Arabidopsis thaliana: one gene and its partners. The protein of the gene in region 1 interacts with the protein of each later gene in a pairwise test. Each region holds a gene or a part of one and is shown in the gene's direction. Other genes may lie near its edges.

What was found.
Region 2: the proteins of GIF2 (region 1) and GRF2 interact in binary tests that used the Arabidopsis thaliana proteins (3 or more experiments, as listed by UniProt).
Region 3: the proteins of GIF2 (region 1) and GRF1 interact in binary tests that used the Arabidopsis thaliana proteins (3 or more experiments, as listed by UniProt).
Region 4: the proteins of GIF2 (region 1) and GRF3 interact in a two-hybrid assay, tested with the Arabidopsis thaliana proteins (2 studies listed by BioGRID).

Annotation. Positions count from the first base shown.
Region 1 is NC_003070.9:68,812-75,815, forward strand, and holds GIF2 (GRF1-interacting factor 2), read left to right. Parts: upstream 1-3,545; 5' UTR 3,546-3,771; coding exon 3,772-3,858; exon of another isoform or gene 3,859-4,103; coding exon 4,104-4,205; exon of another isoform or gene 4,206-4,275; coding exon 4,276-4,352; intron 4,353-4,475; coding exon 4,476-4,584; intron 4,585-4,676; coding exon 4,677-4,929; intron 4,930-5,010; coding exon 5,011-5,072; 3' UTR 5,073-5,285; downstream 5,286-7,004. Other genes in the region: AT1G01150 (Homeodomain-like protein with RING/FYVE/PHD-type zinc finger domain-containing protein), read right to left, coding at 1,304-1,474, 2,029-2,157, 2,230-2,910, 3,131-3,187; AT1G01170 (ozone-responsive stress-like protein (DUF1138)), read right to left, coding at 5,294-5,439, 5,527-5,632; AT1G01180 (S-adenosyl-L-methionine-dependent methyltransferases superfamily protein), read left to right, coding at 6,822-7,004. UniProt on the Arabidopsis thaliana protein: Transcription coactivator that plays a role in the regulation of cell expansion in leaf and cotyledons tissues.
Region 2 is NC_003075.7:17,723,731-17,731,839, reverse strand, and holds GRF2 (growth-regulating factor 2), read left to right. Parts: upstream 1-3,930; 5' UTR 3,931-4,230; coding exon 4,231-4,651; intron 4,652-4,743; coding exon 4,744-4,956; intron 4,957-5,260; coding exon 5,261-5,612; intron 5,613-5,685; coding exon 5,686-6,307; 3' UTR 6,308-6,503; downstream 6,504-8,109. Other genes in the region: bZIP7 (basic leucine-zipper 7), read right to left, coding at 7,123-8,040. UniProt on the Arabidopsis thaliana protein: Transcription activator that plays a role in the regulation of cell expansion in leaf and cotyledons tissues.
Region 3 is NC_003071.7:9,725,564-9,733,611, forward strand, and holds GRF1 (growth-regulating factor 1), read left to right. Parts: upstream 1-2,916; 5' UTR 2,917-3,277; coding exon 3,278-3,605; intron 3,606-3,768; coding exon 3,769-3,981; intron 3,982-4,226; coding exon 4,227-4,599; intron 4,600-4,899; coding exon 4,900-5,578; 3' UTR 5,579-5,738; downstream 5,739-8,048. Other genes in the region: SQE2 (squalene epoxidase 2), read right to left, coding at 1-19, 279-707; bZIP6 (basic leucine-zipper 6), read right to left, coding at 7,038-7,721. UniProt on the Arabidopsis thaliana protein: Transcription activator that plays a role in the regulation of cell expansion in leaf and cotyledons tissues.
Region 4 is NC_003071.7:15,269,588-15,277,821, reverse strand, and holds GRF3 (growth-regulating factor 3), read left to right. Parts: upstream 1-4,706; 5' UTR 4,707-5,204; coding exon 5,205-5,418; intron 5,419-5,516; coding exon 5,517-5,708; intron 5,709-5,718; exon of another isoform or gene 5,719-5,922; coding exon 5,923-6,277; intron 6,278-7,086; coding exon 7,087-7,522; 3' UTR 7,523-7,734; downstream 7,735-8,234. Other genes in the region: SBE2.1 (starch branching enzyme 2.1), read right to left, coding at 7,882-8,025, 8,110-8,234. UniProt on the Arabidopsis thaliana protein: Transcription activator that plays a role in the regulation of cell expansion in leaf and cotyledons tissues.

The DNA of each region.
Region 1 (7,004 bases):
TTTCGGTTTAGCTTGGTTTGTAGATAGTTCGAGTAGACCGAACATCCGAGTCCTACATATATAAGAAAGATTGGCCCATTAACCAAATTTAGGCTTGATTGTGAATTAACATTAGGGCCCAACTAAAATACTTTTTTTTTTTTTTGCCATCCAATAACATTATTATCGCATATGTTCCGCATCATCGTTTACACAAATGATCAAATTGACCAAGTTAAGTTTCTTTTCTCTTTTTCTACATAATATTTGTTATTTAAAGCATTTGTATAAAATTATATACTGATAAGTGATGGTATATTCAATAATTTGTGTTTGTCTTTTTGTGATACAATTAATTATCCTTTATGGTTCCATTTTTTTTTCGTTGACAACGTTGAACAAAGATGGTCAAGGGGCCTAACTGTTTCTCACACAGTTTCCTTTCAGGGTTTAGTATTTGCCGTTTTAGTAACGAAGTTAGAGATTCATACGTATAATTATAAATAGTAGAGTCGGGTCAGATTGTGTTTCTTATCTAATTGTTATATATATAAAATTTGATAAAGCATATAATGTCTTGAAAGATTCAATCGTGAAATATGTGTACAAATATGTAAAATCTAGTTGCACCGCACGGCACCTTTTTTTCCTTCCTCTCCCACGTTTATTCTCGCCTCGTAACAGAAATTATAACTTGGAGTACTATTATAAAATACCTCAATAATTTTAGTTCTAAAAACATGTATATCTAAATCTAAACCATTGTGTATTTTGGAGTTGTAGGAGTTTTTTTTGTAGTAATTTAGTAATACATAACATAAAATGTGTCTTATGTTTAGATTTGCCTTTCATACATTGACCAACCTAAATCGGAGTCGGACCAGCTGGAAACTGGTCTAAATGTTTAATCGAGTTTTAGGTACCCTATCTAAAACCCAAACACAAACTCAGTTTTGCTCATAAATAATCTCTAAAAACCAAACACATTTCGTTAGAAAAACGACTAAAAACCGAGTTTAATTGAAATATACTTTCTAAACCGACCTACACGAACCGGAACCCGACTGCATATATACTTACTTACTCATACACTCTAACAATATAGAATCTATTATTGTCATCCATCTTTTCTTTCACTTCACCTAACTCCCAGTAAATTAATTAATAAAAAGGCGAATCATAACTTGTTTAGATCCTCTTGCAAATGAACCACGAAAGCAGCATGAACACGAATATGAAGAAGAGGACAAGGAAGGAGAAGAAGAGTACGTCGTCAATGGTGTTCTTGTATTCGATGATTGTGAATATATGTGGAGGATTGTTTCTAAGTTATTGGCTTTACAAATACCATCCCACAAATTCTAATCTTTGGATGGTTCCTGTTGGACTCATCTTCTTCATCACTCCTGCGTTTCTTTCCCTCTCCATTTTGATCTCCGATCTCTGCGACGACGATGATGATGTCAATCTCGACCTCAACCAAATCAAGATAATTCTATAAAAGTTTTGACTACTTCAAGTGTTGTCGTTTATTTGGTATTAATTATTATTAACCTCCGTACAAATGGAAGACTTGTGGTTTTATTGTTAAGTTTGTAGATTTTTTCACCTTTGTTTCCGAAACATTTGGTACTTGTGCGACAAGTTATCTCCCCATAGTCTTAAAAGATTAACCTATTTTTAAGTTCTTCAAAATTATATCCATAATTCCCATATGATTCTCTTTTTCTCAATCCTCTGTTTTGTTTAAAGAAGGGTACAAAACAAAAGACTAACAGAGTGGGACGGCTACTACAAAAGACACGTTATCTTCTCTTAATATCAACATAAGGGATACAAAGCGAACATCATCTATAAGGACTACTGTTACCAAAAGATCTACACGGAGGAATCCGAAACTGCGATTACAAGGAAGGACTAACATCAAAGTCGTCACACTACTATACTGCCAATTCAAAAGGTCACTAGGATTTGTCTTAATGTTTTTGATATCAAATGCGTCATTTAATACTTCTAAGGATTTTATGGTGAAAGGAATCACATACGCACCATATTTCTCCATTTGTCCTTAAGATCGGAGGAATTACGAGTTGTGTGGAATATACCTTTTCCCATCTCCAAAATCTTCTTCCAAGGCATGTTTTTGTTGATTGTATCAGAAAATTTCTCCACTCCCTCCTATCCAAAATAAACATATACTATAAGTTTAAGCTAAAAGTGTATTTCAAGAAAAAAGTGTGGTGGTTTTACCCTCAACATCTTCTCTTCGTTGACTGTCCATAGTACCCTTTTTGGCTGATCATTAACAACAGCATAAGCTTCTCCGCAAGATTTCTCCATATCAATGAATTGATCTGTTGACTCGTCTAACTGGGAATTTCGAGCCTTAAGGTGCTTGACCAGTTCTTGTAATTGATGAAGGTTCTCATGTAGTTGCATTGGTAGTGAATTATCAGAACCATTCTCTAGTTGACTGTTTTCTCTCGTCATGACTATATCTCCACTCCTCAGCTCACTACATCCATATTGAACAAGGGTCTTCGCAGCTGCAACACCCCTTGTTCTCAAAGCCGTGGATCTAGTAGCTTGCTCCTTAAACCAACAATAGGGACAGTAAAAGGTTGCAGGATCTTCACAATCAAGCTCAACACACTTCCTGTGAACAGCGAGAGGGCATTCATTCCCAGAACAAGGTACTACACCATCGTCTGCAATATCGCATACAATACATGCGTGTTCGTTCAACGGCTCAAAGCTTCTGAAAGTGTCACTTGTCCCAAGGTAGTGGCGCTTCTTAAGAGGCACATTATCATAAGTGAAAATGTTTGGAGCAGAGTTGACGTCCTCATCACCACCATCATCACACTGAACAATACAATGAGCAATGCGCTTTTCTCTCACAAAGCCAATTTCTTCAACAATTTCACCTATCTAAGATAGAGAAGAAGATAAATCCAAGTAAGAGTGTTTACACAAAATTGAACTAAATCGACCAATTTAAGGTTATCTAAGACCAATTAAGACATAATTTGTTCTAATTACACAGTAAAAAATATCAAATTGTTCTCTAACGTATCACAAGCGACATCCGAGTAAAGACTAAAATTCGAGAAAAAATAAATTAAAGGTTTCTTCTAAAAGGGGTGCTTACATAAGGACTCTTGAGGAGAGCGATATCATCTTCATCAAGCGGGAGATCACTCACCATTTTTTTTCAGATTCCGAGTGAAGATTTGAGAAATTCGAAGGGTTTACGTGAGATTTCTTAACGAATAAGAAAAAGAAGCTACTGTATGTTACCGTTTGGTCTCTCTGTAAGTGTGTCTGAGGTTTCGAAATTTCGAATTTAGGCGAAGAAGGAAGAAACTGACTCAATGTAGTACTTTGCAATGTAACTTTCTCGATGGTCCATGGGCCTTAGAACCGTCTTAGGCCCAAATATGTCCTTTTTTCCCATTGGCCCAAATATATCCAAAACTTTCTAATTTGGTTAGAGGTTGCTCGTTGCTGTATTAATTAATGTTTTATGTTTTCGTTTAGAGTTTTGTAAAGACAAATTAGAGAGAGAGAGAGAGAGACAGAGGCATTTTTGGTCATAAAATCCACACAGAGGTGGTTCGACATCCAGGTGAATCCAAGTAATAAATTGCAGGATTCTCTCTCTATAATATATATAGATATAGCTTGCAATCATTTCCTGCGTTTGGATCGGTCTGGGTTTTGTCGAGGGTTTTTTGGGGAAGACGAAATTAGGGTTTAGTTGGGGCAAAGTAAGTAGTAAAGAAGAAGAAGATGCAGCAGCAGCAGTCTCCGCAAATGTTTCCGATGGTTCCGTCGATTCCCCCTGCTAACAACATCACTACCGAACAGATCCAAAAGGTTCCTTCTTTCTCACCCTATATCTCTCCCTCTCTCTTAATTTGTTCAACACTACTTAGGAGGCTCTTAGAGCTTTTTTGTACTGACAAAATCATTGGCTTCTGAGTGCAAGTAATACTCTTTTGACTGTAATTGGTGGCAATTAGGGTTTTCATTTGAATCTTTCTCGTTAATTCCACAACACTTGAGAGTCTGTTGTTGGTGATGATGAGAAGAGACAGTTTCTAGGACTAGGAAATTAGTAGATGCTTGGTGGGTCAGGAAACTTTGAATCCGGTTTTCAAGAATGGACATTGAAGTTAGATGCTTGCTTGATGTTGTTGTTTTGTACTTTCTCTTGGCTTGATGTCTTCCATGGTAAGATGATAGGCTGCATCGTCATTTCCTTGTCATTCTCTTTCCTTTGCTTAAACGCAGTACCTTGATGAGAACAAGAAGCTGATTATGGCCATCATGGAAAACCAGAATCTCGGTAAACTTGCTGAGTGCGCCCAGTAAGTCTCACCTTTTCTATCCATCTTCTTATGTCTCTTAGATAGTAATGGAAGCTTAGAATTACTATTATTAATGGTGAGGTTTATATAGTTATTCTATCTTTTGCTCTGTTATATTTTCAGGTACCAAGCTCTTCTCCAGAAGAACTTGATGTATCTTGCTGCAATTGCTGATGCTCAACCCCCACCACCTACGCCAGGACCTTCACCATCTACAGCTGTCGCTGCCCAGGTTGTTTGTGATGATAAAACTCAATTGCGATCTATCACAGAAATTTAATGTTGTTTGGGGGTTTGCTTACTGTTGGGTATGATTTCTGTTAGATGGCAACACCGCATTCTGGGATGCAACCACCTAGCTACTTCATGCAACACCCACAAGCATCCCCTGCAGGGATTTTCGCTCCAAGGGGTCCTTTACAGTTTGGTAGCCCACTCCAGTTTCAGGATCCGCAACAGCAGCAGCAGATACATCAGCAAGCTATGCAAGGACACATGGGGATTAGACCAATGGGTATGACCAACAACGGGATGCAGCATGCGATGCAACAACCAGAAACCGGTCTTGGAGGAAACGGTAACTCTCTTTACATTATTAAGACAATACTCAATCTCATAAATTGTAACTTGTATCCATTACTTCTTTCTTTGCTAACAGTGGGGCTTAGAGGAGGAAAGCAAGATGGAGCAGATGGACAAGGAAAAGATGATGGCAAGTGAAAAGGATCCAAAGAAGCTTTGTTTTGTTGATATTTAGGACTTGTGAGTCTCGTAAGGGCTTTTTGCAATAGCTTGTTTGAGTTTTTTAACAGAAGATAGACTGTGGAGTAGTTCCGCAAACCGTGTTGTAATGTATTGTTATTTAGTACAAGCTCGGATTTAGAAAACATCGTCATCGTTCATCTTATTCTGAAAATCAAAGCATTGAACTTATTATTTTCTCATTCCGGACGAGTCTTGACGATGAAATTCTGACGGCTAATGGGATTCATAACAACGGGAGGACCAGCGGTTCTTGGCCATGCTTGGAATTTCTCATCCGTTGCTGCCCACCATTCTTTGTTAGAGACAGTTCCTGGAGTAGTCCCTGAAATTTTCACAAGAAGATAACCATTAAGATCGTCCCTAACTTGAAAACACACACAAAACTAGATAAATCTTGAGCAGAACTTGCCTCCAAAGATCTTATTATCAGAGATAACTTTGTCGAAGATGTATGAGATTCCGAAAGAACCGATGAGAGCACCGATTATGTACTTGGCTTTACCTCCTGATGCCATTTTCTTCTAAAGCTGAAAGTGAACCATTATTACAACTTAACACTCAACTCACAAGAGGAGAAGCAACAAAGCTTATGTAAGGATTTAGTATTAAGGCCAAAAAAACACAGATCAAATTCAATTATTGAAGCTTTACTTATCAAGTTATCATATAACCAATGAAGACGGTAATTCAAAAGAAAAATAAAAGGGTTTGTAGAATAATTGATACGTTTACCTTTGCCGATTCAGAGACAGTGAAGCTTAAACAGTGGACTCCAGTTCCAGAAGAATTCAACGGTGGAAGACGGTCGTCCAACTCTATCGTCTTATCTCTTTAAAAACTTTGGATAAATCTCTGTGAAATTACCAAAATGGGCATTGTTTTCTGAAACGTTAATTACTAGTTTTATTAAGAGACAAAACTACAATCATCACAAGGGAAGATATAATAGCAAATCTACTAGTTTGCTGAATTTCATCATACGTCTAGCTCGAGTAATTGTTATAACCAAAACCTGTAATATGCTAATTTGCTAGTTGATATGAATTTATTTATTTATCAGTAAGGAAAGGTCCAAGTGTCCAACATTGTTTTCGGCGTATGACACATACTCTATTATAAGATGATCTCGGCGAATGCCACATATATTAAACACTACACTTTAATTCTTGCAGAATTACGATTCAAAACTCTTTTTTTCTTTATTCTTTCGAATCAGTGCTGCATTTGACATGTTCAAAACATGATTCTACTTATTATTGACTATTGAGGTCGTGTCGTGTTATAACATATGATTTCGTTGGAAAACTGTAAATACACTAAAGATTAGAGATTCGTAGTTTCATTTATTAATAGGTCTAGGGGAGTTAAATAAGTTTTTGTTTTATATGGTTTTTCTAAACTCATAAAACCCGAAATACAGAATGAATTAAGTCAAGGATTAAAGCAAATGATTTTGATTGTAAATGACTACATCACATGTAGCTTTCTAGACACGTAAAGTCAAATAAATACAAATAAATTAGATCACGACGTGAGCAATTTCCTTATCCGACTGTATTTAAACGTCTCAACAAACTGACCCGCCAAAATAATCATAAATAAATTTCCATAATTCGAATTATATAAACTTAATAACAAAAACAATTATCCTTCCTTAATCCTATTTTGTTTTTACTTGATTCTTCATTCTCAGAAATCTTGACCATGAAGGAGGATCGTCGTCTTCCTCACAAACGCGACGCCTTCCAATTCTTGAAAACCAAGGCTGCGTACGTTATCGTCATAGTTCTAACCTACGCCTTTGGTTACTTCTCCGCCTACCACTATCATCAACCGCTGCAGCAGCAGCTGCCACCGTCTACGACAGCCGTGGAAACGACAAAACCT
Region 2 (8,109 bases), on another chromosome or scaffold:
CTGCGTAGATACATATGTTGAATCGTTAATTTAAATAGCAGAAAAAAAACTTTCAAATTTTAATCAATCGTTTTTATCATTTTTTAAAAAGTTTAATTTAATTGTGATAGTCAATTCGAATGTTAGCAAAAGTACCACTTAATATAATCCAATCGAATTGTGTACAAGCACTCATCCAAACAGACTACAAATTTGTTTTGATTACTTTAATTTTTTAAAAGGTTACATCAGATCAGACCAAAGAAACTCTAACCGAATTAACTAAATAAGTAAATATAAAATAGAATTAGTACATGCTATGTTGAACAAAGTACAGTTCAACTGAATTTACTAGTAACAAAAAGTACTAAACATATGTCATCGAATAATATTATCACAAGGAACGAAGGTTTTATTGTTTTTCTTTGCTACTTCATACATCCCTTCTCTCAGCCACTCTCGTTTTCAGCTATTTCTCTTACATTCCATATTACTCCTTTTACGTTTTTAATAACCAAAACCACACCTAATTACCTATTAACCAACAGAGCTAATGACAAGTTTACTTCTTTTATGTTGTTCATATATCACATGAAAATGAATTCGGATACCACGACTTCTAAATCAAAATATCCTTATCTAAAGATACAAAACTTCATATATCATTTGGTTCCGGATAGTTACTGATTCATTTTCTATTACATATACTCTTCATTTAATAATCTGTTAAAATTTTATGTTATTAAAACCGTTACTGGTTAGAATAACATAAAGTAAAAGAGTAAATATTTTTCTATCTTATTTATCTTATCTAGGCATAAATGCACACGGCACACCTAATGAAAAAGAGAGGAAATTAAATAAGATGAGTCCACATGTGTATAGTAGAGTAGCGCATGAGCTTTTTAGGCTTTGACTAAAAACTTAAACCAAAACCAAAGTCCTAAAAACAGATTTGACGACAAAACCACTTAGGTAGGTGTCTAACAAAAGTCACAAAAGTCTAACCCTAAGACTAAAGAACCTATCTAGTATCATATCTCTCACCTATCATGTCGACACTCTTCATGTGTCCCACATCCTCCCACACGCCACCCAATGTCCTCCTACTTCATTTATTCACCACATCTTACCCAAATTTACCTTTTTACCCACTATTTTTTTCCTTGTTCCCAATGTTTTTGTTTCTTTTTTGGCTAATTATTTGCTTTTTTGGGAAAACAAAATACAATTGTTTCAATCTGTACCCAATAATTGAGTTGTCAAAAAACTCAAAGCCAATTTTGGTTTTGGCCGAAACTACCATACGAAAGGAAAATACTCATAGTTCGATTTTAGGGTTTTATCTGTGTTTTTTTTTACATTCAATTCATAATATTTGCATGCATTTATATTTATATATACTGTTGCACGTTTTTTTCCTTGGCTAAGTAAAGGGATTTATTCCACAAATACGTTTTATAGTCCTGACAACACCACGCTCCTCCTCCTGCTTACTATGATTTCCGATATTAGTTAATTAGTTAATAATATACTAAAATACTATTATTGTCACTGAAAACGAAACGCATCTATATCATCATATAAGATAATGAAAATTGAAAACGATATATTTTTAAGTAGTCCAGTTACTCGGTTACATCAATAATTAATCAATTCTCCTAAGTTTATTTCTTATTATCGAATGATTGGTGTAACTAATGTAGTAAATGCTCTACAAGTACGAGTGGTACATGATGAAAATTAATTAATGTGACGCGATTAAGATAACAAATAATAGGATGCTATGTATTTGTGGAGTCACATACTCAGCCTTTGAAGACCAAGTCAATATAATTTGTTTCAAAAAATGAAAAAAAATGAAAGAGAGTAATAAATCAAATAAATACTGTTACTGGTTATCACACAAATCATATCTAAAGAATGTAAACTATGTACAACACATCTACATTTTCATATGTTATGATCCATGAAACATAGTATAGATATACAATTTCGTATAATTTTACCGTTGTTTATTTGTAGACTATCTAGAAGTGTAAAATATTCGGATATTTTAAAGTCTGCATCCCTTTCCCAAAAATGCCTTGGTTGCATAGATAATTGGTTTTATTATCTTTGATTTTGTTTATTGTCATTGGTTTTGTAAGCAGGGGATATAGGTCGAAACCTATGCGAGAGAGAGGGGACTAAGAAACGTACAAAAGGTAGCCCGCAAAAATTAATGTAAAACAATGTTATTAGCTAGTACATTGGCTAACTTCTTTGGGTTTTCTATCAACCATTGATTTTGCAAAACAGTAAAATCTTTAAAAGTTAAAACTTGCTATAACTTAATCTCTCGTCAATAATATTACGAATCCTAAAGTTACAAGAGAAAAAAATAATACGAACAAAATGGAGCATGACTAAAAGAAAATCAGATCTGACGTAATTATGAAATTAAACCAAAATGTCGTATTTAACTACATAATATTATGTGGAGTGGTAATTATTTACATCATCGATGCATGAACACCACATGTGACTTTTTGTGAGTTAGTTTCTTTTTAGGACATTTACGCAAAGCTTTAACTAACATATACGTTTCTTGTTGGATGGTATTGGTAGTAACACTCTTATCTTTTTCCATTGTTATTATATTCACTTTGCTCCACAAGCTAGTCAATTTGCTGATATAGTTTTAGTGTTTTTTTTTTTTTTTTTTTTTTTCATATTTCAACATTATACAAAAATTATAAAGAAACTGTGATGGACAGTTCAATAGCAAAGTTTGGAAGTGAATGATATTGAATGGTTTTCAAGTTAAAATCATGAGTACGACGTCTGTATATATCATTCACATAAGTTCATACTATATTGTGAAAAAAAGATTATCTAATCCTTTTGTTGTTCATTGGTTTTACTGTTTCTATTATATGACATACCAATGATCCAACCATCAGATTAATTTTATGATAAATAAAAGACAATTCGCAAATTATTACCCGAAGGCATAACTGAAATCGGAGTGTCACTAAATTTATGGTCAAAGCAAATAACGCTTACTAACCGCATCAGTCCAGCAATTTTAATGAACAAAGAAAATAAATCCAGTGAAGAAAAAAAAAGAAAAAAAAAAAAAATCCAGCAAAGTTATATCCCAAACTACTTTTTACTTGCACTGATTACATATGTAATCGAACACATGGATCAATAACCGTTGATGTAATATCACTCAAGAATAGAATTGGCCCATCCGATATATGTAACTTAAATCCTCGGGGAGACGACCAAGAAGATGGTCCAAAAATATCATTGGAACCACGTGAATCTTGATAAATATTTGGTACTCCACTCAATACTATTATTTATTATATGAATAGGACAATTCTTTTATTTGTTTCCTAGACTAAAAATCTCACTAAAAGTGTGAATATATGTGTATATAGTATAATATTCCAAAAATCTCACTTCAAGTATACCCTTTGTTTTCTTCTGCAAATTCTGGTAAAAACAGGCATTACAAATTACAAAATATATCAATATATATTCACCTCCTCTATGAATTAAGACTATTACTATAAGTAAAAATGTTGCTATATTTCTAAAACCACTAATATTTTTCCTTTTGAACATTACAAAAATAATCTAATAACTCCACAGGTTACAGCTAGTTTCTCCCTTTTTTTTAACAATGTTACAGCTAGCTTTCCCTATATGCACATATATCACAACAAAAGAAAATTACTAAAATCTAAAATAATAACCCCCATAAAGAAAAATGCCTACAAATTGGGAAATATGTACTGCAAATAATACAGAAATAGCCTACGTTTTCTTATAGAGAAACTACCACCATATTATACAACTAATTTGGGACCATAAATTTACACAACTTGAAACAAATTGGAAGCTAAGTTTGTACCTTTAAAGCAAGCAAAGAAAACTTTACAAAACAAAGAAGAAGAACTAAAAGCAAAATTAATGAAAAAGCATTGGATAAATATGTTCTAACATGTCCGAGATCCGGATTGTGTTTTTAGGTACCATTCTTGTCTCCTCCCAAAGCTTCACCACAACTATTTTCATTTTATTTTAAAAACACATAATAATATATATCTCTTTCAAGAAAATCAAAAGTAAGCCTCGTTCTTCTCCCTCTGTCTCTCTCTTCTCTCATCTTTAGCTATCTTCCTCCCATGGCAACTATCTCTCAAGTCATTATCTAACTTTTTTTCCTTCTTTTTCTTTTTATATTACTTACTTCTTATGGATATTGGTGTTCATGTTCTTGGGTCGGTTACTAGTAATGAAAATGAGTCACTTGGTCTAAAAGAGCTTATAGGAACTAAACAAGATAGATCCGGATTCATCGGTGAGGATTGCTTGCAACGAAGCTTGAAGCTAGCAAGAACGACAACTAGAGCGGAAGAAGAAGAAAACTTGTCTTCTTCTGTTGCAGCTGCTTATTGCAAAACGATGTCGTTTCACCAAGGCATTCCTCTCATGAGATCTGCTTCTCCTCTTTCCTCTGATTCTCGCCGTCAAGAACAAATGCTTAGCTTCTCAGATAAACCAGACGCTCTTGATTTCAGTAAATATGTCGGTTTGGATAATAGCAGTAATAACAAGAACTCTCTCTCGCCGTTTCTTCACCAGATTCCTCCACCTTCTTACTTTAGAAGCTCAGGTTTGATAATGTCTTCTCTTTATTGATTGGATTTTGGTGAAATGGGTTGTGTAAAATAATCAAATTTTTTACATTTTTGCTGTGGAATGCAGGAGGATATGGTTCTGGTGGAATGATGATGAACATGAGCATGCAAGGGAACTTCACAGGTGTTAAAGGACCTTTTACATTGACTCAATGGGCTGAGTTAGAGCAACAGGCGTTGATCTATAAGTACATCACAGCCAATGTCCCTGTTCCTTCTAGTTTGCTCATCTCTATCAAGAAGTCTTTTTATCCTTACGGATCTTTGCCTCCTAGTTCCTGTAAGCTCCATCTCTTTAACACAATTTCTAGTTGCACATAACTTTCCATTGAGCGATCACTTGTTTGTGAAAGTTTTGGGGTTTTGATCAACTCATTTGTGGTGTGGTTGCTTAATCCAAGAATCAGATTTTATCTAGTCTTTTATGTCATTTTGGTGCTAAATCCTTCATAACATTGCTCATAGGGTTTTCAAGATTTGTCTTGTTGGTTGAAAAGTCTTTACAACAATGGTTGCTTTTAGGATTTTTCATAGGGAATTTTGTTATAAATGGTTAATGAGTGTTTATGTTCGGTTTTGTGTAGTCGGATGGGGAACTTTCCATCTCGGTTTCGCAGGCGGTAACATGGACCCTGAGCCAGGGAGATGCCGCAGAACAGATGGGAAGAAATGGCGGTGCTCAAGAGACGCCGTTCCTGATCAGAAATACTGTGAAAGACACATCAACAGAGGCCGTCATCGTTCAAGAAAGCCTGTGGAAGTCCAATCTGGCCAAAACCAAACCGCCGCTGCTGCATCCAAAGCGGTTACTACACCACAACAGCCTGTTGTCGCTGGTAATACTAACAGAAGCAATGCCCGTGCATCAAGCAACCGCAGCCTCGCCATTGGAAGTCAATATATCAATCCTTCTACAGAATCTTTACCTAACAACAGGTGAAAACAGATTTTTAATACTCTGCATATTCATTGTTAGTTCATATCTCACTTACTGACTCTTGCAAAACAGAGGAGTTTCGATATATCCTTCCACCGTCAACTTACAACCCAAGGAATCTCCGGTTATTCATCAGAAACACAGAAACAACAACAACCCTTTTGAGTTTGGACACATATCCTCTGATTCGTTACTCAACCCGAATACCGCAAAGACCTATGGATCATCGTTCTTGGATTTCAGCAGCAACCAAGAGAAGCATTCAGGGAATCACAATCACAATTCTTGGCCTGAAGAGCTGACATCAGATTGGACACAGCTCTCAATGTCAATTCCAATAGCATCATCATCCCCTTCCTCCACACACAACAACAACAATGCTCAAGAAAAAACAACACTCTCGCCTCTCAGGCTATCCCGCGAGCTTGACCTATCGATCCAAACCGATGAAACAACAATCGAGCCTACTGTGAAAAAGGTGAATACTTGGATACCAATCTCATGGGGAAACTCCTTAGGAGGTCCTCTAGGTGAAGTACTAAACAGTACAACGAATAGTCCAACATTTGGATCTTCTCCTACAGGGGTTTTGCAAAAGTCCACATTTTGTTCACTCTCTAACAACAGCTCCGTGAGCAGCCCCATTGCAGAGAACAACAGACACAATGGCGATTACTTTCATTACACAACCTGAAAACTGAAACCAAGTCCTGCGGCAGGAAACAAAAAAAGAAAAGCTCTGTTTTTTCTCTTTCATTATGTTCTGTTTCGTCTTTCTAAAGCTTAAAGAGGAAATTAGAAAATCGTTGTTCTTCTGATTCTTTCTTCGTTTCCGATTTCTGAATCATTTGTTTGATAATCACTTCATATAATCACAATCTTTATTCTAATTGTTCAGTTACAAACTAGGGTTTATCTTTGCTCTTTCATCAAGGGAAAACTTTTAGGGTCGTAACAAAAATGGACTTGAGGACCTAAATTATTGTTGGGCTTTATGTTCCAAAACTTTATTTGGGCCGAGATAGGCATTTTAACGATTAAGATATATTATGTAGTGATATTACAGTATTTGGGATCGTGGCAACCGGTTTATTAGGCTTGGTTTAGTACTTTAAAATACAGTGTATCTTTTCAACAATTATGGGCGTTGTAGCATGATGTCAATGCGCATAAAGCCTTTCCAGTTTCCACTAAGTAATAATGTAAATCGTTGTATTAATTTAATAACTCTTTAAGTTATTTATCTCATACACGAGAGTGGGAAAAAGAAAACCAAAATAAAAATCTGTTTTGTTTTCCTTCTTCTCTAGTGTAGTGGAGTCACAACATATAGAAAACGAGAAAGTGGAAAGGAAAATTAGAAAACTATCATTTTCTCTTCCTAACCTTCATTTCATTTACATAGAGAGATAGAGAGACATAGCGAGAGTTTCTTTTTTGCTTTGCTTTTTTTTTTTGGTTATTGTTCTAAGTTTTTCGATATTTTTTCTTCTTAAATATTTTGATCTATCATTGAAGATGAGGGTGGTTTTGTTCAGTCATGATCATTCTCCGGTTATGTAGTTCCCATTGTTGCTGTTGTTGAAGTTGTCTAATGATCAGAATCCGACGCATCTCCGACAATCTTAGCCGGAGTATCTCTTGTTCTGTCACGAGCCGGTTATTGTCGGAATTCACTCGTTGAAGCTGGTGTAAAACTAACCGGAGTCGGTTCCCGAGCTCACGGTTTTCTAAATCCAACCGGTTTACTTGCTCTCGTAAGTTATCAATGTGACTTTGTTTACGCATTCTTGACCGTTTCGCTGATTCCCGGTTTGACTCCATCCTCTTCCTCTTCCGCTCGTCGGTCATCTCCGGTTGGATCATTTTTTTCCGGTTATGGTTATTCTCTCCCGAACCGAAATTTGTGATGGCTGTCAATTGTTTTGTGTCGTCCGAGTCCGGTTCATCTGCTTGAGAGCACGGTAGATCGTTTGATATGTCGGCGTCGTCACAACGAGGATTAATTTTGACGAAACCGGCACAAGATTCGTCAGAACCGGTTTTCATGTCATGAGAACCGGAATTAATTTTGACGGAACCAGTGTCGGATTCACCATAACAAGGACTAGGGATGGCCGGTTCAAGAGACATTTGGTCCACGAAAAAGAGATCAGAGCAATCCCATTCCCAAGGAGTGAACCCGGTTTGGAAACCCGAGAATTGATTAACCAAACCCGGTTCGGAGAATGAAAAGGCCGGTGCAGTGGACAACATAATTGCTAATAATTTTTCTAATAGAGAGATGAGAGAAATTAGAAGGGGAAAAGGGAAGAATTGCATTGTTGGAGCTTGATATTTATGGACAAACCAAGGGGTAATTTGGTCATATTTCCAAAATACGATGTAAGACCGTAGACTATACTGTATAAACAGCTTTTGAGTCATGTTGCACTATGGTGGGGTTAAAAACTTGAAAATTTTTATTTGGCAGAGCCAACTTTTGTAAAAGCAGGA
Region 3 (8,048 bases), on another chromosome or scaffold:
CGTGCACTCTTCTTCCTTCCTTCAATAACCACACAAAGGCCAAAATTTCAGACAAGAACTTACGTCTCCAACACACAAAAATCAGACAAGTATATATCTCCAATGTTCCGGGAACTAATATCACATCATTTTTGTGATCTTATTACAAAAAATATAATCAAAAACAAATTATATTACAAAATAAATGTTAAAATTTATTGAAATGAATTTAGAAAAATAAATTTTCATGAATAAATTTGGAGAAATGCAAAAATCAAAAATTGAGATTATAGACTTGCCTTGCCGAGAGTATGAGCAAGAGCGGAACCGGCGACACCAGCTCCGACGATGATCACATCAGTGCCAGAATCAACCTCCGTTTCAAGATTTTTGGATACGGTATCGTTTTGGGAAACGACGAGTCCACGATTCTTCTTATTCTTATTACTACTCCGACGCAAAATGTAGAGAAGCAGAAACGTAAATAGAGAAGCTATAAATTGATCCAACGCAATCTTCGCCGGTTTCATCATCACCGTGGAGTTCACGGCGGAGAGTTTGAGTGTCTGCGCCGCCGTTGCTTTCCATCGGCGAATGTAGGTGGCTCCGGTGGTGAATCGACGAGTAGAGAGAGAGAATCGAGAAGAGGGGCGATGATTTGTGTAGAGAAGCGAAGATCTAAGAGTTGATTGAAATCTTGGAAGGTTCCTGATTACGAATGGTTTCATAATTTTTTGTTTAGTTTAAGACAAACGAATATTGCTAGATCAAATATCTAGAACCGAACTAAAACCGAGAAAAGAAAAATTCTGAATTGACTCCAAACCGATAAATTATTCCAAAGGATTATAGACTTTTATACTCAAAATATCGGAATAAAATCCGAATAGATATCCAATATAATAATTATATTTAAATTTGATGTAGTCTAGTTATCCAAAAACTAAAACCATAAACTTAGGAAAGTAATTACTTTTATATTTAAAAAAAAAAAAAAATCGAAGTTTTAGTTTTTTATAAAAAAAAATTACTATTTTTAAATTATTTTTTAATATTCCAGGTACTTGAAATCGAACCGAATCTGGAGAGATCCGGATCAATCAAGTCCAGAAAAAACCAAACCAAATAATTGATTGGATCTTAAATCTTTATATCCAAAGTACTTGAAATCAAATGGATCTACTCGAAACCAAACTGAATTTCTGTTTAGTAGTAGTAGCTAGTGATGGGAGTGTAACATTATTGTATTTTTGAGTAATAATAAATTTTCTTTTGAATGAAAAAATAACAAAATAGTTTGTTAATTTTATCAAATGTATATTCTTAATCCCATAAATAATCTAATAGAGCAAAAACTTGCAGTTTATACCTTTAAGGTTTTGAATTCTTATAATAAAACGTTTAGTTGTCAATATTGCTACTTTTAACCTTTAAATGGTTATTGTGTTCAGGGTTCCACAAAATTAACTGACAAATTGATTATGTTAACAAAAGATATTCATTTTTGTTATAAATATTGATATGACTCTAATAATTATTTTTCTTTTAGTAAACTTTTAATATCTATTAAATTTTATATTTATGACTAATAAGATATTTGATAAAAAAAAATCATAAGATATTTTATAAATCAACAAAAATATAAAAACATTTTTGTTTTGGGTAATAATTATATTTTAAACTGTTAATAAAAATTCCATTACTAATAAAAAAATATTCTAATATAAGTTAACAGTATTTTTTGTTTTTACGTTGTCAACTTAACGTAGTAAATATTTCTATTGTTTAATTCCAAACCATTAGCTATTAGCTTAAAGGCAAGTGTTTTTTTTCTTCTTCTGTTTGTCTTAGAAAGAACTAGTATGGTTTGGGTTCATATGAGGTGGGTATCAGGTTATCACGTGCATGGTTTTAGTATAGTTTGGATCCAGCTCCCATCCTAGACTTCTAGGCACCTTTAATATTTGATTACGACGAAAAGGCTTATGTGAATCGAAAAGCCCAACTTCTTAATTTCAAAGCAAATTAAAAAAAAAAAAATCATTTTAACCTTTTTGGAAAATAGAAAGGTAAGGTGAATTTGAATTTCTGAACATTTGATACGAATGCAAAACTCAAGATGCACATTTTTCAAAGTAATGCCCCTAGAATTGTTTGCAAAATCTGCTGTCTAAAATTTTTTTGCTAGGATCGAACCGATTTTCGATTGGGATAGACACGAATTATAAATCATATTCTAATATCATATTAGATTATAGACTTCCGATTCAAAACTTATTGGCAAAAAATGAACTGACTCATATAATTTATATAACCATTAAAATCTTATCTAATTTCTGATTTAAGGTTTCAAATACAAATTATTCATAACCTAATTGATATGAGTTTCACTAGCGATGAATATGATGTACTTATGTACTTATGTTACATAAGGGATAAGGCCATTTGAAAAAAAAAAGTTGTAATAAAACTTAAACCCAAGAGATAGGATTGAAAAACATAAATGGCCCATGTAACTATAATCAGCTGGGGTACATTGGAGAACACCATTAGACAGTCCAAATACAATTGGGAACCACGTGAATCTGATAGATATTTGATACTCAACTCAATACTATATTTATTATTTCAATACGACAATCTCATTCTCTAACTTCTTTCATACTAAAATCTCACTTAAAGTATACCCCATCTTTCCCTTTGCAACGTTTGGTAAAAATGCATACCATAACAAATTTTAGAGCAAAAAGCAAAAAGCAAATGAAAATTCCTTTCTTAGGGTTTGAAGTTGAAACTAGAGAGACATGTCTCACGTGGTGTCCACATGTCTTTTATCTTAAAAAGTTCATTGTTTGCTTCCTCTATAATTATTTTTCTCATATCACAAAAGTAACCACAAAATTATTAAAATCTTAAATAATACATAAATCAAAATAAAATCATACGTAGAGCATCTGATTATAGTTTTCATTTCTTTGTAGTAACATGTCCGAGATCTTGATTGTGTTTTCGGTACCATTCTTTGTCTCCACCCAAAGCTATATCATATCTCTCACTCCCACAATTATTACTTTTTGTTATTATTAAATAATAAATATCCTTTCTCCAAAATAATAAAAATAATATCTAGAGTATAAAATAAAATAAAAAAACTTAGCCTCGTTCTTCTCCCTCTGTCTCTCTCTCTCTCTCGGTTCTCTTCTTCACTGAGCTCAAAGCGATTACCTCCCATGGGAAAAATCTCTGAAGTGATTATTTAGCACTACTTTTTCTTTGTCTCCTTCTGAATCCATTTTTTATGGATCTTGGAGTTCGTGTTTCTGGTCATGAAACCGTTTCTTCTCCGGGTCAAACTGAACTCGGATCTGGTTTCAGTAACAAGCAAGAAAGATCCGGTTTCGATGGTGAAGATTGCTGGAGAAGTTCAAAGCTCTCACGAACATCAACTGATGGATTCTCTTCTTCCCCTGCCTCTGCTAAAACGCTGTCGTTTCATCAAGGCATCCCTTTACTGAGATCTACCACTATTAATGATCCTCGTAAAGGACAAGAACACATGCTTAGCTTCTCTTCTGCTTCAGGCAAATCAGATGTCTCACCTTATCTTCAGTACTGTAGAAACTCAGGTCTGAACTGTAAAAACAACTAAAGTACTCTGCTTTTTTTTTTTACTTTCTTGAAAATCAGTATATGGCTTTTGCTTAGAGTTAGATTACAGAAATGGGTTTTGATTAGAGTTTGATTTAGTGAAGTCTTGATTTTGGAATATTGGTTTTGTTGTGGTGTCAGGATATGGTTTAGGAGGAATGATGAACACAAGCAACATGCATGGAAACTTGTTGACAGGAGTAAAAGGACCTTTTTCATTGACTCAGTGGGCAGAGCTAGAGCAACAGGCGTTGATCTATAAGTATATCACAGCCAATGTCCCTGTTCCATCTAGTTTACTTCTCTCTCTCAAGAAATCTTTTTTCCCTTATGGTTCCTTGCCTCCTAATTCTTGTAAGTTCTCTTCCTTATCTTTTGTTTTCAAAGATTTGAGATTATTGATCAATAGTTTTGATTCCTTTTATCTCCAATACATTAGCCAAGAATTAACTTTATACTATCTTTTTTAGTGTATAGTCCTTTGGAACATTGAATCTTGTATGGATTGGTGGTGGGTTTATTAAAGATTCTTGCTTTGTTAGGGGAATGGTGTTTTTATGAGATCTTGAGAGATTTTTTTGTTTTGTGTGATTATGAAGTTGGATGGGGCTCTTTTCATCTGGGCTTTTCCGGTGGTAACATGGATCCCGAGCCAGGGAGATGTCGCCGGACAGATGGAAAGAAATGGCGGTGCTCGAGGGACGCTGTTCCCGATCAAAAGTACTGTGAACGACATATTAACAGAGGCCGCCATCGTTCAAGAAAGCCTGTGGAAGGCCAAAATGGCCACAATACTAATGCTGCCGCCGCTGCTTCTGCTGCTGCCGCTTCTACCGCTGCTGCTGTGTCCAAAGCGGCAGCGGGGACTTCAGCTGTTGCGATGCGTGGATCAGATAATAACAATAGCCTTGCCGCTGCTGTTGGAACACAACATCATACCAATAATCAATCTACAGATTCTTTGGCTAACAGGTGAAAACGTTTAACATCTCTTGCCTTTTTGATATAACTTATCTGCATATTCTTAAGTTTTTAATGTTCATACCTTTTTCAACTTTTAAATACTTCTTTGCCCTATGAGTAAGTAGTAGACCCACCAATTCATTATTACTACATCTTTTATGATTGTGACCACTCCTTATTAATATGAGGCTTAGGATTCCATATATTTGGATTTTTTTGCTTTAATGAACTGTTTACTCTCCTTTTCTTGATGATTCAATGATGTAACAAATTAACAAGAAATCTTAATGGTTGTTTGTTGCATTGCAGAGTTCAAAATTCTCGAGGGGCTTCGGTTTTTCCTGCCACGATGAACTTACAGTCGAAGGAAACTCATCCGAAACAAAGCAATAATCCCTTTGAATTCGGACTCATCTCTTCTGATTCGTTACTTAATCCGTCGCATAAACAAGCCTCGTATGCAACCTCTTCCAAAGGCTTTGGATCGTATCTTGACTTCGGCAACCAAGCCAAGCACGCGGGGAATCACAACAATGTCGATTCTTGGCCCGAAGAGCTGAAATCGGATTGGACTCAGCTCTCAATGTCAATCCCTATGGCTCCATCTTCCCCTGTTCAAGATAAACTTGCACTCTCACCTTTAAGGTTATCGCGTGAGTTTGACCCCGCGATCCACATGGGATTAGGCGTCAACACCGAGTTTCTTGACCCCGGGAAAAAGACGAATAACTGGATACCAATCTCCTGGGGTAATAACAACTCCATGGGAGGTCCACTCGGCGAGGTACTAAACAGCACGACCAATAGTCCCAAGTTTGGTTCCTCTCCAACAGGCGTCTTGCAAAAGTCGACATTTGGTTCTCTTTCTAACAGCAGCTCGGCAAGCAGCACCATCATTGGCGATAACAACAATAAGAACGGTGATGGAAAAGATCCGCTTGGCCCGACCACGCTGATGAATACTTCTGCTACTGCTCCTTCTCTGTGAAACTGAAAAAAAAAAACTAAGGACAATTGCGAAAACAAAAACACTCTGTTTTTCTCTGTTTCTGGTTTTTCTTACTTGATGCATTGTTGTTTCTGTTGCTGTTTTCTTTCTATATAAAGCAAGAAGAAACTAAAGGAGAGATGTGTGTTTTTTTCTTCATAATCTTTGTTCTTTGTTTTTCCTCTTATTTGTTCTCAATCATCAAATTCTTGATTTTATTGTTCCTCTTATAGCCGTTGAGCTAAATCCCTGGTTTTAAGAAGTCTATGTACACAATGTTCTAAAACTGAAAAATATACAAATTTTTACTTTTTTCACTAACCACAAAATTAAAACCAAGTGTTAGTGTCACAAAATTTGTGATCCTTGAGAGATTTTGACGAGAGGTTTCCTAGTTGCAGACAAGAGGCAACATTGTTTGTGGATTGGACATAGAACACTTCTTCAAAACAACTGTCTCCAACTTTAGTTTTTTTTTTTTTTTTTTTGGGTTCTGTTTCTCCACTTTTGGGTCCCTGTAACTACTTTTTGCTCTTCTCTCTCTAACCCTACCTTTCACTTATTCCTGTTTTTGTTTTTCTTCAAGAAAAAATGAAATTGATTATAAAGAGTGGAGGAGGACCAATCTCTCAATGTATGGATGGTCCATAACGTTTTTAATTTGGATTTTTTTGTGTAATTTTTGGAGATTTTATTCTAACACGTGGCATGTGTGGGACGATCCAGACACTTCCACTTGCACTAGACACGACAATTCTTACCGAATAAATATCTTCACTAGATGCAAGATGCTTCAAGACTCAAGAGTACAGTATTAGATATAGTTTGGAGTACATAACCTTGTTGCTTTCATATGATAAATTTAGTGTTAGATCATTAACAATCTTTTCCCAAAATGGTTAATGGTTAATGGTTAATGGTTAATAGTTTTGCATATATTTTAAACAAATAATACGTTATTCAAATTTGCATATATTTTTCTAACTATACTTAATTCCGTCTACGTACTTGATAAAAAAAAGGCTTGTAGGAAGAATCTTGCGGTCTGTCTACTTGAGGAATAAGAAGGAATCAAAGAGGAAACAAGCTGAACATGGGAATTGGGAAGTCTGTGAAAGACTCTGGTTGACGTAGAGGTTTCATTCCAACCCTCAAAGCCGACGACTCCAACTTGATGCAGAAGGTTTTAAATACATGATAGGGTGGTAGTCGTCAACAAGAGTAGTTGATTAGGCTTATATCTTTTAGCCCACTCACTAATGGGCCTTGATAAATATGATTAGAGAGGCCCAAGTACGAAACAACAGCAAAAAAAAAACGAAGTCCATCATCTAAAGTAACACTCATATTCTCATTTACACATAAGAGTGATCAAAAGAGACACAGAAATAAAAATACTTCGCTTTTATCTAATTTTTTTTTTCCGTTCTAAACTTTTTTTTTTCTATTTTTTTTTCTTTCAAATCATATGATGATGATTGATGATCAATGATGGATTCAGCTGAAGCTGTCTGAAAATCAAAATCTGCCTCATCTCCAAGAATCTCCGTCTGAGAATCTCTTGTTCCGACAAAAGCTGATTGTTGTCCGTACACATTAATGCGATGTTGTACAAAACAATTCGAAGCCGGTTTGCGAGTTCCCGGTTTTCTAAACCGAGACGATTTGCTTCGTCTTTTAAATTATCAATGTGTCTTTGTTTACGCATCCTCGACCGCTTCGCTGATTCTCGGTTTGATTCCATCCGTTTGCGTTTACGGTCGTCAGTCACCTGCAAAACCGACCGGTTCAATTTGTTCCGGTTATGATTCGTGGCGTTACTTCGGATTTTCGTGTTTTTTGAGTCCAATTCGTCGGATTGAGGACTCGGTACGCCGTGGAAAAGGTTGGAATCATCAGAACCGGAGTTAGTTTTGATGGAACCGATACACGATTCGTCAAAACCGTTAAAATCGGTGTTAATTTTGACAGAACCGGCATCGGATTCACCAGAACAAGGACTCGGTACGACCGGTTCGAGATGGATTGTAGAGAAGAGATCGGAGCAGTTCAATTCCCAAGGAGTGAATCCGGTCTGGAAATCCGATAATTGGTTAACCAAACCCGGTTCAGTAAAGGTAAAGGCCGGTACAGTAGACATCATAATGACCGGTTTAAAATTGTTTAATTAGAGAGAAGAGAGAGAAGAGAAGGAGAAAAGGGAAGCATTGATTTGAAGGAGACTGGAATTTAAAGGAAAATTGGTAAGGGTATTTTGGTAATTTTTGAAATACTATGTATGACCGTATTTTATACGTATAACGACTTTTGAGTCATGTGGCACTATGTGGGGTTGGTATTATTTTTCAAGACCCAACTTTTATGATTTATATGAAAGTAGAAAAATATTTTGTGGGACACCAATAGCCAATAGGACTCGTTTAAGGTCACTTTCTGAAAATAAAAAAGTGATTAAAATTGTTAAACCAAA
Region 4 (8,234 bases), on another chromosome or scaffold:
TTTTGTCAAGAGAAATTAGTCTTCTGTTCTACATTGACTTGACCAAAGCTATTATTGTCCAAAGACTTTTCTTACAAATGCATTATTGCCGGTCAAAACCTAAATACATTATCACTACACTCTACACGTAAACTAATCGAAATATTGCCCATTAATTAATATCATAATAGGCTAATAGAGTATATACTATTTTCTAGTTGTAAAAATTTAAACCAACGATCTGAATCATACATGGTAAAATTTCCAAAAAATAAACTTAAAAATAGTACAAGATGGAAGTAGTTTCGGCTTTGTATTTTTTGGGCCTTAACAAAGATTCATTGGAAGCAAAGAGATCAATATTTGTTGGGCTATATAATAAGTAGGAAACTTCTGTTGCGTTCGTGTTTATTTTCTCAACATGATAGTCCAATGTTTTGGGCCTAAACAAATACAAAGTAGTTTTAAGTGGCCGTTTATACTAATTCAGTATCTCAATACAGTAGACCTTGAACAAAGGTCCTATTCTTTACCAGTTGCAACTTACAAGGAGATCAATCTTTTTCTTCAAGTTTGTACTGGATTGGGCTTTTCCTGATAAGGTTTAAATCTCTGTACTTGGGCCCAAATGACTACTTTCTCATTGACAGTCTCTATACTTTCAATACCCAAATAAGCTTTATCCATCATATCATGTTTTGGCTCAAATTGGCTCATATGTGAGAGATCTTATTAGAAAACAACTTGTCTAGTAATCTAGTATATTGATTAGAAAACATATAGAGAGAGATTGGCATGACATGCAGGCGAAGTAGTCTTTGCCTTGGATTCTTTTGCGTCTTTGCTAAATATATAATACTAATATTGAAAGATCGCATGTTTGATGCATGTTGACACGTGCGGTCATGCCCTTAGATACCTTGTGTCACCAATGTGTTGTGTATGCTCTCTCACCAGAAAGATCTATTCTTTCCTTTTTCCTTTTCGTTTCTTTTTTTTCATATTACTAAAAATAACATCATGTGTTAGGTTCTGGTCCAAGTTTGGTAGTAGCTAGCCTTATTTAGTATGTGGTTAATATAAACAACCAATAGTGAGCTGCTGTCACACACAAAAAAAAAAACGACCAATAGTGATATATAAATTTTAATTTAAAAATCTTGGCATATGCTTAATGAAGTGTTAGTAACATAATTTTTACGCCTACATTTTTTTTAAAAATATACATGTTTTCAATCTCGCCAATATCATATTTTGGCCAAAAAAGAAAAAACCTTACCAAACAACAAAGGAAAAGAAATTTTGGTATGGAGAGAATAAATAAAGCACGTGGGATCACGTGAGGGCTCGCGTGCCGGCGTGACTTGCCTTTTACTACAAAAAAAAACTCGTAACAAAGAAAAAATTGGGACCCCAAGTGGACGGAGCCTGACCCCTTGTGGTGGTAATAAAGACATAATATACGTTTCTTTCTCATACAACAAAACAAAATAAAAACTATACAATAAAATATTTAAAAATATTGGTCTGACAGATTTGTGTCAGAGAAACGTATTTGTCTTCTCTTGAACATGTGAACTCTCGCCCTCCTTTGCCTCTTCTTCTTATTCTCTGTCCTTTGCTCTATTTCTATATTTTCAGATTTGTTTGTACAAATAACTCGTTTCTCTTCTTAATTAATTAAAACAATTTTCCATCACAATTTCATAAATCAAAGTACGACATTAACTTTTATCGCCGACGTAAGAAAAGAATAAGGAAACTTGTGTTTTCTTACGAAAAATATTGATAGTTATATCATTGCCTCGTTAATACGATACTACTACTACGTACATCAACGATTCGACGGTGGTTCTTTTAACCTATTAATCTTATATGTCAGAAATAGTTTTGTAATTACGATGTATAGTTTTGTGACTATTCAAAATATAGTTGACTTATTATTTTGTTTGCTCGAATGGTTAAATCTGGTCAGTCATGTTCATGTAGATCAGTGCCAATGCATTGTAATGGGTTATCTCCTTACTCGTTGGAGGGTGTATAATTTCAACAATACTGATATTGAAACACGTAGTAATTTTTTAAAATAGAGCATGTAAAATACATATGCCATGAAAAGAACTGGACAATATATATCTTAGTTTGGTATGTAAGAATATTGATGTAATATAATTTTTTTTGTAGACTAACATAATACGGTTATTGAAATTTGAGAAATTTTATAAGAATAATATAGTTAAGATATTATACAGTCAAGAGAAGCTTTACATTAAATAACTTAATCTCTTATGAAATAAAAAAGAAAAAAAATCTATTTACTAAAATTATAAATAACAAAGTTTGATGTTTAATTTTCATCAGATAATATGAAACTTATTAAAATTATAGAAAGATAAACCGTGAAAAGGGAAATGTGATTAAGATTTTGTATTATGTGATTAAAATTTTGTTAAATGAATTGGAGTGTGAGAAAAATGTGAATAAAGATTTTATGAGGGTAAAAAGTGAAAAATAGAGGAAAAGAGAGGGGGTAAGAGTGAGAAAAAGAAGAAGTACTATGAGTAGTCAAATCAAAGATGAATCACAGCCCAAAGAGAAACAAACCCTCACCACCCACTTGGTTACTCACTTTTATGCTTTTTACTTCTGAGCTTTCTCTGACACAGCCCACCTGCTTCTCTTTTCTCATTATTACTTACTTCTCTCCTCTTTACTTCATTTTCTCTTCTTCTATCTTTTTTTTTACCTCAGTCAGAACCGAATGTAAAACCTAAATCAACCCAAAAAGAATGTAATTGTTGTATACAAAATTGAATAGAATACAAAATCTAACCGTTGATAAAAGATGAAAGAAATTATTGGACCAAAAGTTTGCCTACCTTAACCAAATTTGAACCAGAAAATTTTGGTTTCAGTCTATAGTAAAACTGTAAAAGATATAATAACTCATAAGTAGTCGTTTGTTCTATAATTAATACATGACTCCTAAGACTCTTGAGACATCGTTCTACCATTATTTTAAAGCTTCGGGGTTTGAGTTTAGCTAAACATTCTGACATACAATTCATGAATTCATTTTCTTTTAGATTTGTTAAAGAAAACATGAGATACATAGTGATTGAGAAGTGATAGTTAGATGGATGTCAAAAAAAAAAAAAAAAACAGAGAAGTGATAGTTAGATGAAATATTTTCCCACATCTTTGAACTAGCTAATAATGCAATACGTATAGGCGATGACGCCCATGAGACTTTTCCCTTGGATATGCTGAGACTCTGTGGAAGCCGTTCGCTTTAACATTTCCGCAATGACGCAATCCGAGGTCTTCCAACAACCAAAACTTCATACGATACTCTTCAAGCATCCGGGCCTCTCAAAAACCCTCAGGTGGATTAACCTTGCTCTAAGAGTTCTCATAAACAAGGATGCATTTGTCATGTTTACTCAAGACAACATGAACTCGTACCACGCCGTATAAAAGTTTTTGACAAAAATCTTGAATAGCTAACAATTATTTGGCAAAAAAACTTCCAAGAATCTCTGCAACTTTGCTAATAGAGAAATTACTTGAATACTTTTAATATTTATAATTCACTTAACTATCACTTAAAATATAAACATTTACAACCATTTTTTTTAATGTTTCTCAAGCCTGATGATTTTTTTTTTTTTTTGGTAGGAAAAGGGGGAAAATCCGCCAATTTTATTAAAAAGAAAATACGAAATTACATTCGGATAGTTCTTGAAAACGCAGGCCCATTTACATCCTCCAAAACAAAAGAAGCAATAGAATCCGGAACTGAATTAAAAACATACAAACCAAGAGGTAAAGAAAACGCATAGTTAGCTAACCCGTCCGCAAGACGATTGACCTCCCTATACACGTGAGAAATACGGACTAACCAGTCCCTTGATATGAAGCCATAACACAAACGTAGTAGGAAAGATAGAGGATGAGAATCCGGTATCCCTGTCTGTAAAAACCCAACCACGATCTTCGAATCCACTTCCAGCTCAAGGCGTGTTATTCCTTGCTCCCAGACTATGTGTAACCCATAGTAGAGTCCCCACAACTCTGCTAGTGGCGCTGAACAGATTTCGATATTCAAAGCAAAAACCCCAACCCAGTTCTCGTTCCCATCACGCACCGCACCTCCCGCTGCTGCTAACCCGGGATTCTCTCTCGAGGCTCCATCCATGTTCAACTAGCCTGATGAATTTATTAAACTCATGTTTCCATTTTTTTTCCCACCAGTTATGTTAGTTTGATTAATTTTTCAGTCAATTTTGGCATAACGCTTTAAAATAATTATATCAAAATAATATTTTCAGTTTTTCTGCAACAGATTCATTCCACCAAGAATTCAGCCGATTCTACCCGAATTAATATTACCATTTTCGGACTAGATCTATGAACGAAGGTACAAAATTAATCAGTTAAAAAAGAAAATAGAGTGGCAAGTACTACATCTAGTGCCGTATGATATGATAATATAGGAACCTAAACGAATTTTATACTAATTCAAATTTAAAAGTAGTTAGGTTTGTCACAAATGCAAATTACAAATTATATCGACGTAACGCTTACTCATTAAATAATCTAAATTACTTGGTTAAAAGACTAATTAAATATTCTTAACAAGTAGGCTTTTGTTTTCATTATAAAACAAATTAAAAAGCTATACTAATATAAAAATGGAGATTGGTATTTCCAAAGCAGCAAAGACAGAAAAACTGCAGGTTATTATCTCTCCATCTTCATCTTGCAGAGTGGTTCTTTCTGGGTTTTCTGACTTGCTTTTCATTTTTTTATTGATACAAATGTTAAACCAATTATTTTAAATAGTCTTTGAGATTAATGAAGAGAGATTTGTGAACACAATTAATAAAGAGTTATACTATAGTAGTAGTCTTTTTTACTGTATAGTATTTTCTCCCCGCATCTGTCTTGTCTCACTGTCTTTTTCTCGCAAGTCTCTCTATTAAAAACCTCTTTCCCTCTACTCTGTCCTTTCTCTCTCTGCAGAAGAAGCTCAGATACAGAAACTGACTACCAAGAACAAAGCTTTTTCCTTCGAGCAAAGAAAGTTCTTTTTTCTTTTCTTTTGCTCTTCGTAACCCAACCAACAAGACTTTCATAAGCTATTAAATCAGAACCCTGGAAGACAAAAAAGGGGAAAAACCATTATCCTTAAAGTAACCAACACTTCTCTCTCTCTTTCTTCAATGGATTTGCAACTGAAACAATGGAGAAGCCAGCAGCAGCAACAACATCAGACAGAGTCAGAAGAACAACCTTCTGCAGCTAAGATACCAAAACATGTCTTTGACCAGATTCATTCTCACACTGCAACTTCTACTGCTCTTCCTCTCTTTACCCCTGAGCCTACTTCTTCTAAACTCTCCTCTTTGTCTCCTGATTCTTCCTCCAGGTTCCCCAGTGAGTCTTTTCTTCCTCTTATCTTATCTTTCTTGATAAAGAATTAGACTTTTCATTCATATAGTTTGTGTTTAATTGATTTTGATTCCTTTTTGTAGAGATGGGGAGCTTCTTTAGCTGGGCACAGTGGCAAGAACTTGAACTACAAGCTCTGATCTACAGGTACATGTTGGCTGGTGCTGCTGTTCCTCAGGAGCTCCTTTTACCAATCAAGAAAAGCCTTCTCCATCTATCTCCTTCCTACTTTCTTCACCATCCTCTTCAACACCTACCTCATTACCAACCTGCTTGTGAGTCTCGAGAACAGTCTTCATCTATCTATTTTTTAAATATAAATGGGTTTTGTGCTACTGGTGTTGGAGTTGTGTTCCCAAGATCCAGACTTTCAATATTAGTATATTATCTCGTTTTGCCAATCTTGAAGATCTAAACATGTGTGAATGGGATTAAGTAGGATTAGAATCTTGTTATTGATCTGATATGTGATATGAATGTTGAAAACAGGGTATTTGGGAAGGGCAGCGATGGATCCTGAGCCAGGCAGATGCAGGAGAACGGATGGTAAGAAGTGGAGATGTTCAAGAGACGTCTTCGCTGGCCACAAGTATTGCGAGCGCCACATGCACCGTGGCCGCAACCGTTCAAGAAAGCCTGTGGAAACTCCAACCACCGTCAATGCAACTGCCACGTCCATGGCTTCATCAGTAGCAGCCGCAGCCACCACTACAACAGCAACAACAACATCTACGTTTGCTTTTGGTGGTGGTGGTGGTAGTGAGGAAGTGGTTGGTCAAGGAGGATCTTTCTTCTTCTCTGGCTCTTCTAACTCTTCATCTGAACTTCTCCACCTTAGTCAAAGGTAATAAAAAGAAACTGTTTTTTTTTCTCTTAGGTCTGTCTGTTTTAGCTGTTGAACTTTATGGTCAAAACATTAAACTTAAACACATTGACTTTTTTATTTCTTTAGTGTTGAGCCAATAAGATTCATGGTTGAGATTTTAGACAATTGTTTTGAATAATAATGAAATCGATTTAAAGCAATACTGATTCTTGATTTATTAGTATGAAGTATGAACTAATGATATACACAACTTGGTTTGTATGTTCATAGCGATGTTGTGAAGAGAGGGGTAATGTTGGAAATTGAGAGACACATCCTTATCATTTTAGGGTTGGTTGGTTTGTTTGTTTGTTGAATTATGAGTTTGATTTCATTGTGAAAATATCTTTCTTTCTTTTTTCTTATTGTGTTGAGAGATAATGATAACATTGGATTTGATAGAATCTATAATTTGAAGCTAGGTGTGAGACTTTTCAAACAGAGAAAATAGAAAGAGAGAGAAATGGTAGGACCTTAGTGAAAGCTGACCCATATATGTCTCATATCTTGCAGAAAAGTTAAAGCTTTTAGATTCTTCTGCACCCACCTCCCCTATCCACACACAACACATGATATACAAAACACTCACTTTATAATTCTATTTCTATTTACTGCTTAATCAATTCTTATAAAACCCACATTAAAAGGTACTTTTAAAGCCTATAAACTAATATAAAGGCTACTACTGTCTGCAACTTTGTTGTTGAAGCCTAAATGTGGTTTCTCTTTTGACAAATTATTGCTTTTGTGCTTTGTTTTCACCAATGAGATGTGGATTCTGTTAACAGTTGTTCGGAGATGAAGCAAGAAAGCAACAACATGAACAACAAGAGGCCATACGAGTCCCACATCGGATTCAGTAACAACAGATCAGATGGAGGACACATCCTGAGGCCCTTCTTTGACGATTGGCCTCGTTCTTCGCTCCAAGAAGCTGACAATAGTTCAAGCCCCATGAGCTCAGCCACTTGTCTCTCCATCTCCATGCCCGGGAACTCTTCCTCAGACGTCTCTCTGAAGCTGTCCACAGGCAACGAAGAGGGAGCCCGGAGCAACAACAATGGGAGAGATCAGCAAAACATGAGCTGGTGGAGCGGTGGAGGTTCCAACCACCATCATCACAACATGGGCGGACCATTGGCCGAAGCCCTGAGATCTTCTTCCTCATCTTCCCCAACCAGTGTTCTCCATCAGCTTGGTGTCTCGACACAAGCCTTTCATTGACCAGTGTAAAACCAACACAACAATGCGGTTTTTACTGTGTTTTTGGTTTTTATCCAAATTTCCTGTATAAAGAGGGGAGGCTTTTGTTGTCCTCTTCCCTTTTTCTTTTAAGATTTCCCTTGTATCTGTAGCCTTTCTCTGCAGATTTTATATCCTCAAAGATTTGTTTTTGGAAATTCATGTCTAAATAGGATCTACGATGAAGCTTAGGCAAAATGTAGAAGTGCAACGACTTTTTATTTCATTTTTAAGTTATAATGATGCTGCAAGCGAAAACTAAAGGAGAAGAAGATCAACGAGTAAATTTTTGTAGTACAAAGAAGCTTACAGTAGGTAAACTCGGACAACTGTCTTTGCTCCTAAACATCTTCGGGTAACAGGCCTATGGGGACAAGAGAAGAACGTTCATCATCATCATCATCATCTACTGCAGCGTAAACTACAGCGGTTCTGCACGGTGCATACACCATGAAGGAGCAAGGCCTATCGTCGTGCCTTCCATCCTGTATAGCAAATTATTAGTTCCTTTGTAACGACTTGGAGAAAAGAGTTTATTCTTTTCGTTCTCGCTTAGTTAAAGGGCTTACAGAGGTGAAAAACTCCGCGGAGTCATCTAGCCGGTTGAAGCCTCCAAATAAAGAGTTATCAGAGTCCAAAACGATTTTGTACTTTCCGGGAACAGAGCAACCGATACGGTAGTCAGAGTAACTGT